2 linked regions of the Drosophila melanogaster genome follow. The protein of the gene in region 1 interacts with the protein of each later gene in a pairwise test. Each region holds a gene or a part of one and is shown in the gene's direction. Other genes may lie near its edges.

Evidence for each region. Proteins that work in one complex are often made in the same cells at the same time.
Region 2: the proteins of CG6791 (region 1) and Rgl interact in a two-hybrid assay, tested with the Drosophila melanogaster proteins (one large-scale study listed by BioGRID).

What each region holds. Positions count from the first base shown.
Region 1 is NT_033777.3:11,585,198-11,592,079, reverse strand, and holds CG6791 (uncharacterized protein), read left to right. Parts: upstream 1-1,933; 5' UTR 1,934-2,269; coding exon 2,270-3,012; intron 3,013-3,066; coding exon 3,067-3,520; intron 3,521-3,577; coding exon 3,578-6,112; 3' UTR 6,113-6,382; downstream 6,383-6,882. Other genes in the region: jupiter, read left to right, coding at 773-912.
Region 2 is NT_037436.4:13,916,932-13,921,831, reverse strand, and holds the start of Rgl (Ral guanine nucleotide dissociation stimulator-like), read left to right. Parts: upstream 1-1,866; 5' UTR 1,867-2,638; coding exon 2,639-2,641; intron 2,642-4,900.

The sequences.
Region 1 (6,882 bases):
ACCAACCAACCAACCGACCAATCCACGAACAATAACCAATTGTGTCTGTTGAATCGTATCGCGTCAGTCTTCCGCAATATGAGCAGTGAGTACTTGTAGTGTCCAGTGTCCTTTAAGGACTCATCCTCATCCCCGATTCGCCTGCCTCCCCGCTCCTTCTTCCAACAGCAAGACCAGACACCAAAGAAACATCCCCACGCGTATCCTTGTGTCCCCCAGAACCGGCTCGAACCGAAACGCCAATTCCACCGGCTGACGACGCCCTATCCATTGATAACTCGTGCCGAGATAGCGAAGTTGGAGACGTGCCGGCAGATAACAGCACAGTCACAAAGTCCGATCAGGTGAACGAGGGCTGTCAAACTCGGCGAGACTCTGGAAATAATCCCGAACAGCCATACTCGCTGAACAAGATGGCAGGCGTGAGCAATGTAAAGGAGCCCCTTGGGCTCTGTCCAAACGAGATTAAGGAGGAGCAGCAGGCGTGCTCCAAACTCGATTCACGCAATCCGATCACGGGCCTCGGCCTCAACGGAGATGGTGTTGGCGGCCTCAAGCCCAAGAAGCTAAAGATCCGAGGTGGGCGTTTGGTTCTGGTTGTCGCTTCCGTCTGAAATTCCATACTCCAAACTCCAAACGAACATAGCCAATCCCCAAGTACTTTTATTAGTTGCGCTTTAATTTCGGATTCTTAGAAACCAATTTGATTTTATACACCTAGTTTGCATTCTAAGTAGTCAAATTTTCTAATGATATTCCTTTGTTTTCACAGAGGGCAACCCCGTCACAGGCGAGGGCTACAAGGTCGTAGCCAACGAGTATTCCCAGCGCCAGGAGTCGTCCAATGGCGGCACTCCGGTGATCAACAAGAACCGCATTCCCCCAGGCGGCTACTCGTCGGGCCTGTGGTAATGACAGCCGGAATTGCTCAGATCCCAGCACAAGCAATTGAGGAGCCGATGGCGGGACGAGACACTATAAGAAAAAAAAAAAACCAACAAAACAAGCAAAAAAAATCATACTACCCATCTAATATACGCATAAAACCCTACACTCCCGTATCCAGGTCAGAAAATCGAAAGGCACGAAAGTAGGACATGATGGCCAACGAATAATTAAGCGAGAGAATAGCAATTGCTCAACGATCTGCAGATGCAATAGTACGATACGCTTCCCAGATGAGAATTAATCAACCAATTTTAGAAGGCGGCGTTGCACCCAAACCTATCACTACCAACACCACCACCACCCCATTGCAAATCTGTAATTTAAATTCCTTAGTTGGTGTAAATCCATGTAACGCGTGTAGCCCCACAAAACGACGCCCGATCGCCTGCCCTCTGCAACTGCAGATATATTATATATATGATATTCATCAACCCGGTGTGTGCTTACGTGTGAAGCAAGCGAGAAGCAAGGATGCGAGCGGTGGCGGCCTGTTGGAGTCCTTTGATCACACATGGATTTTATTTTAGTTGCTACTACACGCCACATATATTTATATTTATACCAACTGCATTCACACGAACACTCACGAAAACACATACATACATACATTATAAACATTGTATTACATTACATTAAATATGTAATTTAAACGGTACGACAGCACTTTCTAATGTGCACGTGCTAATTAAGTGTAAAAATACAAAATTCAAGCGCGAATATTTGTTCAATAAAAACCTTTCGTACATAACATGCCTTTTTGTCCTTATTTAGAAAAGTGGTCGGGCTGGACGGAAATTGTTTGGAGTTAATAACCTTTTGACCGAGGTCCTAAGCTGAAGTTAAAAACTAGTTTTCAAGAAACATTTAATTTTTCGCGCCCATAAGCTTAAATCGTCGATAAGCTATCGATTGACATGCTGTGGGTTATCGATGTTCACTTTCTTGGTCTGGCAACACCGTGCAACGCCGTTCCAGTTTATTTGCGGCCCGTAGCTCTGCGACGCCGCAAACAAAATGGCTCTGATTTTTGCAGACTACAATAAGTTTTAGTTTTGGCCATTTTTCCGCTGCCCCAGTGGGCTAAACGCAGATGCAAAAGGACCCAGTGAGGTGTGTGCTGCTGCACCGACTGTGAAGATGGAACCTGGTGTGCGCAACACCTCAGAAGAGCTCTACCAAGTGAAAAACCAGACAGCCGTCGTCGTTATTGCCAATTGTGGCATATAGGATACGAAAACTAGTTCTCACGCATACGCACTCACACATTGAAGAGCCACTGACGACGCGAGCTGTCGCAGAAAAGCCTCTTCCCAGCCAAAAGATGGAGGGCATGGATCTGTGGACGTCGATGTTCTCGTCCGACTTCGAGGAGGGTGAGGCGGAGAGCGGGGTGGCGGAACTGGAGGACAGCGAGCAGTACGGGAATGGCAATGATGACTTCCTAGGCGATACGGCGATCCTTGATTCAGGCGATGCCATCGATGACCTGCTGGATGCCGAAGAGGATGAGAGGGAGGAGGAGGATGATTACGAAAAGAACTCCAAGGAGCCAAAGCAACCAGATCCCGACGATGATGCGCTCTTTGATTTTAATATGGAACCTATTGTAGATATAGCGGAGCCACAGCGTCCATCGTTGGCTCCTGCTGGACCCATGAGCCAACAAGTGCGTCCGCCAATGCAGCGACACTCATTCCCGGGAGCTGGGGGTCGACCCAGATTGGGTTCCGGACTGTCTGTACGACCCACCACCTCGCAGATCAATGCAACGGACGAGAACGGAGTGCCAATTAACTATGAGTTGGGCGTAGTCTACATCTGCCCCGCCTGCGGTGGTGAATTCCGGCAACAGGACCACTGGAAGCGGCACATGAACCACATTCACAAATACAACACTCTACGTGGCTTGAACTTTACGCCGCTGGACAAGCTCTATCAGCGGTGCAGGGAGTGCAACAAGCGGATTGCCATGCACAGCCGGGAAAACCTGCTTAAGCATAAGTTCACGCACCTGCCCTTCAGGTGCACCAAGTGCTACATCTGCAAACGGGAGTACAAATACAGGTACGGTAATGAGTATCCTATTCAGCCCTTCCTTAATAGTAATGTCTTTTAAAGGCAAGATCTTATGGTTCATCTTCGCATGGTCCATTGCGATGAAGTCGTGGCCATGATGCGGGAGGGTTACAATGCGGCGGGGCGGAAGACACGGGTTCGAGAGTCTCGCACCGAGCAGCTGCTGCGGGAGAAGAGCTTCCGAGAGAATGATGACCTTGGGGAGGAATCTGATCGCATAGAGGTTCGGAATGAGCTGCTCGAACCGGATGCCGATGAGTCTGGCACCCAGGAGCAGACCGTGTCTGAAGAGGTTTCCAAGAAAAAGGCTGGTACTCGAGGAGCAGCCGAACTGTGCGAGGATTACATACACTACATGTGTCCAGACTGCGGCACCGACTGCGACACCCACGCCCAATGGAGCCAGCACATCGAGTTCGTCCACGACTACGTCAGCCGAAGGGGACTTAATTTCCGAAGCGTGGACATGCAAATGCAGTGCCTCGAGTGCAAAAAGGTGAGTTTCGATTTATAAACCAAACTTTGCTGAATCAATTATTTTTTATTATCTCAGATTGTGACTCCCAATACCATTAAATCACTTCGCGCCCACAAATTCAGCCATTTGTCGCAGCCTGAGTGGCTGCGCTGTAAACTCTGCTACAAGGGTTACACGGATCATCAGGAAATAATCAGACATCTGCTGCAGCAGCATCATATGGATACGCTTATGTCGGAGGACGCAGAGGAGGAGGATGGTGACGCTCCCTCGGCCATAGAGGATGAATGCGACGGGGACAATGGAAACGGCGAGGGAAATGGCGCCCCTTTGGACGAGGACTCGCCCTACTTTGAAGACGCACCCAGACGCGGCGGTCGCATCAGCAGCGACGACATTTTCGAGCCTCACATCGACTACCTCTGTCCGCAGTGCGGCAAAGAATTCATCGAGAAGAAGCACTGGCGCACCCACGTGGTCATGGCGCACAGCATGAACGATCTGAGCAAGCTTAATTTTGAGATGATAAACGAACGGCAGCTTAAGTGCACTGAGTGTGACAAGATCATAACCAATGCGTATGGAATCCAGAATGCCCAGCAACACAGGATCACGCATCTTCCATTCAAGGCCTACGCCAGGTGCCGCAAGTGCCACAAGTCCTACACGGACAGGAAGGGTCTCGTAAAGCATCTGGCCACCCATCATCGGGTTGGTTGGCCACGAAAGCTTTCGGGAGGATGCCCAGCTCCAATTCTCACACCCGCCAAGCAGCCACGCAAACAGATAGTGACGGTAGCCAATGAAACGTACGAGATAATCTATCTGGACGACGTGGATCAAGGCGGCATGGAGGAGGATAACGACTTTGGTGAACAGATGCAGGCAGAAGAGGATGAATATCCAATTGCACCGCCACCACCATCACCACCACCGCCGCCACAGCCAACAACTCAAGGAAATCATCAACGCTACAAGTGCGTCCACTGTGGCACACTCTTCGCCACCCAGGCGGCCGTCCGTGTTCATATTAGCGAAAAGCGGTGCAGGAAGACAGTGGTGAGAAGGCGTCGACAGCCAGTGATGAGCTCTGCAGATCCATCCGTGCCCACCGTAGAACAAAATTACATCTTCTTGTGCCCATCCTGCGGATTTGAGTACAAGACTCAGTTCGAGTGGCGCCGTCACATCAATGAGGTGCACAATTTTGACAAGCGCCAATATCTAAACATGCGTCAGTTGGATAAGTATCGCTACCAATGCACCCAGTGCAAGGACATTGTATGCAATTCGAAGCTGAAGGGCTTGCAGGATCATCACTTCCGACATCTGCCCTACAGACTGTACCTCAAGTGCCTGATCTGCGGCACCTGCTACAATCATAAGCCGAATATAGCTGCGCATTTGAGAGCCCGTCATAGCATTTTTGATAGGGAGACACCGACGATGATTACAAAACCGAAACAAGTCCTCGGCCGTTATAAGGATAACAGTAGGGAGAACCCCAAATTGCCCTCTCCTCCACCGGCTCCAGCACTGGCACCAGCACCGCCCTCACCACCTGCATGTTCCTCTTCTGCTGCAGCCAGTGCAAGTAGTCGTTCCTTAAAACCACAGCCTGGTGGATTGCCAGCCCGACCCGCTGGTCTCAACACGCTGGAGGACAGTATCTCGTACCACAATGCCGTGGACCTGGACTTCATCACGTATTTTTGTCCCAAGTGCAATCAAAACTTTGACTCTCATGCTTTCTGGCGCAAACATATTGTGGAGCAGCACAACTTTAACAGCCGTGAGGGCCTCAACTTTCGGCAGATCGACAACCATCACTACCTGTGCCTGGAGTGCTACAAACGGGTGACCGTGACGCACACCAAGGGCGCCATCGGGCAGCTACAGTCGCATAAGTTCCGCCACCTGCCCCATAGATCCTTCAAGTGCTTGACTTGCGGCGGTGAGTTTGTGCGAAAACAAATGTTCTTCAAGCATTTGAACCGCGACACTAACCGGTGTGACAATCGTCCGCACCGGGAATTCGATGACGATGAACCCGACCAGGATACGCTATTGAGCACCATTTACCATCTAACGTGTCCGCAATGCGGTGACAATTTCAAAACTCACAATAAAAAGGAATGGCGGGAGCACATCAACGACCACCATGGCTTGACCAAGTTGGAACTTTTGCACATGACAAAGGTGGGTGAAGACGTCTACCGCTGCCAGGACTGTGATGAGGAACTGGAGACGAATCGACAGTGGGTGCTACAGTTCCATCGATTCCAGCACCTGCCCCACGCGGCCTACATCCGTTGCAAACTATGCAAGCAGAGCAGTGCGGACGGTGCTGATGCGGTGGGTGAGTTGCACAGCCTCCGCGAGCTGCAACAGCACATTCGTAAACACCATCCAGGCCTGGGGGATGCCGAGATGATATCACTAATCGAGCAGATAATCCAGGACGAGAAGGAGCAGGAGGAGGGCACGGAGCAGACCAATGATGGTGAAAACCCTACTGGTCAGGACTCAGGACCGTATATGCCGCTGCCGCCACATCTTTTGGACGATGATGGCGACGTGGAATTCGAAGATCAGTATCTGCTCGGCTAGTATTAATTTTCGATTTATTTAAATTAGGATCCTAGTGGCAAAATGTAATCTTTCCATCATGCACGTCCGTTTTTTTTTTATTTTATTTTAAAATGCGAGTGTATTCGATTTGCATATTGTATTATGCAGTGTCTTTTACTGAAACCATGAAAGTATATTTCACTTTTAAATTCCGTGTTCGTTTTTTATTTTAATAGTTCTGCGAATCGAACATAGATTACGTTTTGCCACTAAGCTAGCCCGTTTTTATGACCCAAGTCGAAATAACCTAATCCACTTCCACAACACCTGTGTACTTCCAGTGGCAGACGGATTCAGATATTCAAGAGATTAATTAGAGTATTCGTATAGTTTACCCATAGACACCGCCTAATTCTGATTACGGACTTTTAGCTGTAGGCTACTCTTTAATTGCTAGTATTAAGAATCCAAGCTATTTATTTTCGATATAATCTCAATGAACGGTAACTGATATTATCAAAATTATAATTATATTTTCAGCACCACTGCTTCGACTAATAAGAAATTGGTCTCGAAAAAGTTGGTCTATGCACGTGAGCGTTTATGCGCTGTTTGATTAATGTTAATAAATAAAACATTTAAAATTCTAAATTAACTCTCTGGAATGCTTTTACTTATACAACAACAAAAAACAAATGTTTCGGTATATTTTGTTTTATTAGTATTCAAGTTTTATATTATTTTTGCCTTAGACCAGTCACAAAACTGATCTCCAAACTTTTCAGGCTCGGGGGCACAACAGAAGTCGT
Region 2 (4,900 bases), on another chromosome or scaffold:
CAGCATCTACAACACCACCATCGGAAATTGCATCGCACCAGATTTTGAGCAGCACGCACCTTGAAGTAATTGCAGCATCTGGCCATCGTCAACGCTGCAGACTATAATGAGTCAAAATGTGGCCGACAGTTTGGTGAGTAGCTAAACCATTATCTTGTTCATGTACTCTAGTATATAGCAAGCGTAGAAAGTAACAGGGAAATGCATAGAAAGTCATTTTGAAAGTATCTCGCAGAGCACCGAACTTTGTGTGGAGGCTTTTTGCCCAGGTCTGCTAATTATTTGGTCAAATAGTCCGTAGACTAAGTTAATGAAAAATATGTTGCAACATTTTGATTAGAGTGGTGCCGAAAAATCGAATTAAAGAAATTTATAATTTATAATTTAATTTATAATTTTTGTGATATTTATTATCACGATCACAACACAAGAGCGGTTTTTTCGTATGACTAAAGTTTTGGAGCACAACATTTTTCATCTAAATATATATTATGACGTTTACGTTTTAAAATATTATTCTCCATACTTTCTGATAGGGAGAACAGCAATAATTTTAAATAAATTTACTATAGCTTTAAACCGTATTATTTTGACACCAACATCATGAAGCACATTGAGGGTCAATCTTTAATTGATCTCTTTTTCTAGCTTTATATAAAATTCGTTATCAGCATCACCAAGTGCATAACAAATATCAGTGCCTTTTTTTGTATTGAAACTTGTTGCATTCGCTAATTGATCAATTGACGTGCTCATGGTCTCGAATATTTATCCAATGTCTACAAGCAACAAACAAAACAGCAGGCATCGTTTGATTGGCGCTTACGTAAATGCACGTTTTATTAATATTTCTGCTTATTGATTTCCCCGCCAGCTTTCTTTAAATCGTTACCAAATACCAGACAACACTCAGGTATTCCCATTTCCATAATTATGTCATTCCAGTTCACATGTTTGAACGGTTGGTCAAATGATAGCCTAAAAAGCCAAACAAAACATGGAAGAAAATTATTTAAATTTCTTTGTTGGCATTAATCAAAAATTTGGAATAAAATCCTACAGGTTTAGGAGGCCCATAAATTCCATTGATAAATGTGAAGCTATAATGAAGACAAATGCTATTGTGGGGGTCAGTGTAAATATATACCAAAAAATACTAAAATTGACAGAGAGAGTTGAGAGAGAGTTCTGATTAGAAACAAACAAGCCAACAGTCAATTGCTCATCAGAAAAAACATAAACAGAGCGCGAATGGCCAGAGCAAGTAAGATTTTTATGTTTGTTCTGATACGACATATATATACCGTGTATTTATTTTAAGAAACTTATTTATTTATATTTAGCGTGTCAACAGTCACTAGGAAGAAGTTTTAAAGAAATTTGTTTAAATTGATTTAAAAGGCCAAGTTACCATAGTGCAAAAGAAATAAAATCAATTACCAATTCAATGGTAAATTGACAGTTTATCTGGAAAAAGTTCTATTTTAAGTTTATTGACTATAAATTGTGAGAATATGTAGGTGTTTTAAATTCGGAACCAATATTGGAATGCATTGTTAATGTTAACTGTGTTTTTGAACTTGTTCGATGCAACCAATATACCTTCACGCAAGGTGTAAAACCATAGTGGGTGTTTTGCTAGAAGTTCCCACGGTCGAAAACTTGAGTACCTGAGAAAAGCGAACGAGAGAGTGCAATTGAGAGAACGGGGATGCTACAGTTACATCCGTCGAGTAAGAACATCCCCCGAAAATGCTTGCGTTCTTAATGACAGAGAGTGGATCCCCGACAGAGAGAGCGTGTGGGAGAGAGTAAGCGAGAGTTGGATACAGACGATGGGGTTTCGGGCGGTCGTTTGTTCTAAGCGGGCAGAGTTCGTCTTCGACTGTTGTTGGCGGCGGTTGCGTCGCGTGTCTCTCTACCGAGAGCTTTGTGTGTGTGTCTCGCGCGCGTTTTACGCTCTGCGCCCCCTACGCTCCCCTTTTCCAAGTAGAGAAACCCCCGAATGTGAATTTTGTATAATGTTTTTGTAATAACATGGATATCTCATGTTGAGATTTTCAGCCAAGCGAATGAAAATGCAAGCGGTATCCCGAAAATTGCCGTTTACGTGTGTGCGAGTGCAGCATTAGCAAAAGGAAAAGAGATAAAAGTGAAAACAAATAAATAGTAGGGAAGACGTGCTAAAGCACGAGAGCAAAGAGGAGATTGCCAGGCAGACGCATAGACGTAGTGCAACGAACCCTTCTTCGCGGACCAAGGATTCACCACTTACCACTAACCGGAGAACAAATACCAATATTAACCCCCCCACCTCTACTGCTACTGGGTGTGTTTCTCTATGTCCCGTTGACTCATCGTTCCCAGGAAGCTGAACAACGGTATAGCGGCCAGAACACAGAAGCCCAGTACAAAAAAAGAGCAGCAGGAATATCGATTTTACTTGCCTTTTACTTATACAACACCCCCACCACCCATTGAACTGCACTTGGGTGTAAAAATAAAACACCAGAAGCCATTAAAGGAGACGTGTAAATTAAAGCGAACCGACGAGAAGAGGATAACGGATAGGAAAACCCAAGCAGTGCATCCGTGGAAATCTCAGCAACATTTCTCAAGGAACAAAAGCCAATCTCAAATGGTAAAAAAAAACAACGCAATCCATCAGGCCGGATTAGAAAGGAGCGCACTTTAGATCTATTGGTTCTTATCCTGCCCTTACAGTGGTCACTCGAACGTTGATACATTGAAATGTTTTTTTTTAACAATATATTTAAAACAAGTACATCATATTTCTGCAATAAGCAATACATCGGTAACAAACTCCTGATAAGATAAAAACATTAATGGCTTGAATTTTATTACTATTGACCCTCGCCCTTAAATCAACGACATGGATAATTATCGATAATGCGCACCTTTTTTTGTCCGAGAATTTTCAACCCTGAAAACTAGTTGCTGTGTACTTGATCTGGTTTTGTGTGGAGAGGGATTACTGTAGTGTCTTGGTGTCGATTCACAAGGAAATGTCAACAATGATTATGGGCAAAAATGCAATGGTATGGAAACTTTACGCCTAAGTGGAGTCCAGAAATAAAACACCTTCTTTTGGTGGGGAAGGAATAGGAATCGATAAAAGTCGGGAATTTTTTACAAGTTATAAATGAATCATATGGGAACTGCCAAGCTTGGAGAAGCTTTGTTTTGGGAGTTTCGAGAATTTATATGCTAATTAAAAAGCATTCAAAATTGGTATACTTATGCTTGGGAACAAATGGTGTAGGGTATTCTTAAGTGATGTATATAATTTGTTTCGCAGGTGAAAGATAACGAATTAAAGCTATGAATTTAAAGGTGAATCAGTTTGAGATCATTTCAGTTGCAGTCCCAGTTATATTTTCGTTTCTTTATCATCCATTTATGCGGAGTGCCCCTAGAAATCATTTATCAGCTCCCATTGTATGCAAAACAAAAGCTCCGCCCCCCACTTCCTTTACCCACTGGCGAATGATGGGGGAATGCATAAAAAAAATAATTTACGTGGGGAGCTATGCTCAGTGGCTCAAACTTTAGCTTAGGTTGATATGTTTTTGTATTGTTTGCACATCATCTCTGCTGCTGCCCAACGGATGTGGTTTGATAATAGCCGAAAGAGCGGGACAGCTGCTCTGCAGTAGAGACAGATACATATGTACATATACACGTTAAATAAAAGTTTTATTCGGATATGAATTATGGTTTTTGAAATTAAAAATTGCAACAGGATGTGGCATCGGTTGATATTCGTTATGTTGTAATATAGCGAAAAGGAGACATTAGGGATAGAATATCGAATGCCAAGTAATGCCTGTTCTATTATTTCTCATAAACACAAACGATGTAAAATCTTGATGGACCTGTGTTAGTAGGCCGATGCAATTAAATTTGATCATAATTCCCTTCATTTTTTTTTATGTGCACCGAGGGAGCAGCAAATGTTGTCAAGTTGACTGCGTCGGATGCAGTCGCATGTAACTGACAGTCAGTCAGAGTCATTTAGCCAGTCAGTCATTTAGTCAGTCAGTCATTCAGGGATGACAGAGGGAAGGGGGAGAGACTGGTGTTTAGTTTCAGTCGTTTTTTTCCCTTGGCGTTTTCAATTTTGTTTTGCGTTGTTTTTTTTTTGCCGCTGCTTCTGTTGCTGCAATTCACAAAACTCGTGCCAGGGGTCGTCGATTTAAAAATAGAGATTTGTGTCTACAATTGCGGTCAAAATAAATGCCTTTTCATTTTTCAAGACAAGCGAAATGTATTGCTTATTTCGGACACCTAATCTATTGCCGCCAAGAACTAGGAAATTCTCAAAGAACTGTTTTTACATCGATACAAATTGCAATACTTTTACCTATAAATCGAATATCTCAAACGGAATACTATTTTACTATCTCAGAGTCATGTTTCATCATTTAAATATTGATCCATTTCCTTAGATGTATTTTCACTTTTAATCTATCAATATTGTGACCTCAGCTGTATGGCTGTTTGTTGATAAATTCACCCCAAATGCAAATGCAGTACCATTTCGCTTTGATGTTGCGGTTCGACTCTCCTTTGTTTTGGTTTCTGGCTATTTTTGCGAAGATCTGTAATTGAGAGAAACCCCCCCTGGGCGGAAAAGCAGAAAACGCCACCCACACGCTTTTCTGGAGGAAAGGTCACCTGCTTTATATATAGACAGATGATGATGTGGGCCGACCAATCAGGCGCCCCCTCATACTTGGATGTTATTTCTTTATAATTGGGTGCCTTGTATACACAAACACGAATATGTTTGACAATTGCCCGTCGTCTGGCATTATAATACTATATTATTTCATTACTTAATGAGCTTTATTTCTGCCGCAGTTTTTTTTGCACGGGC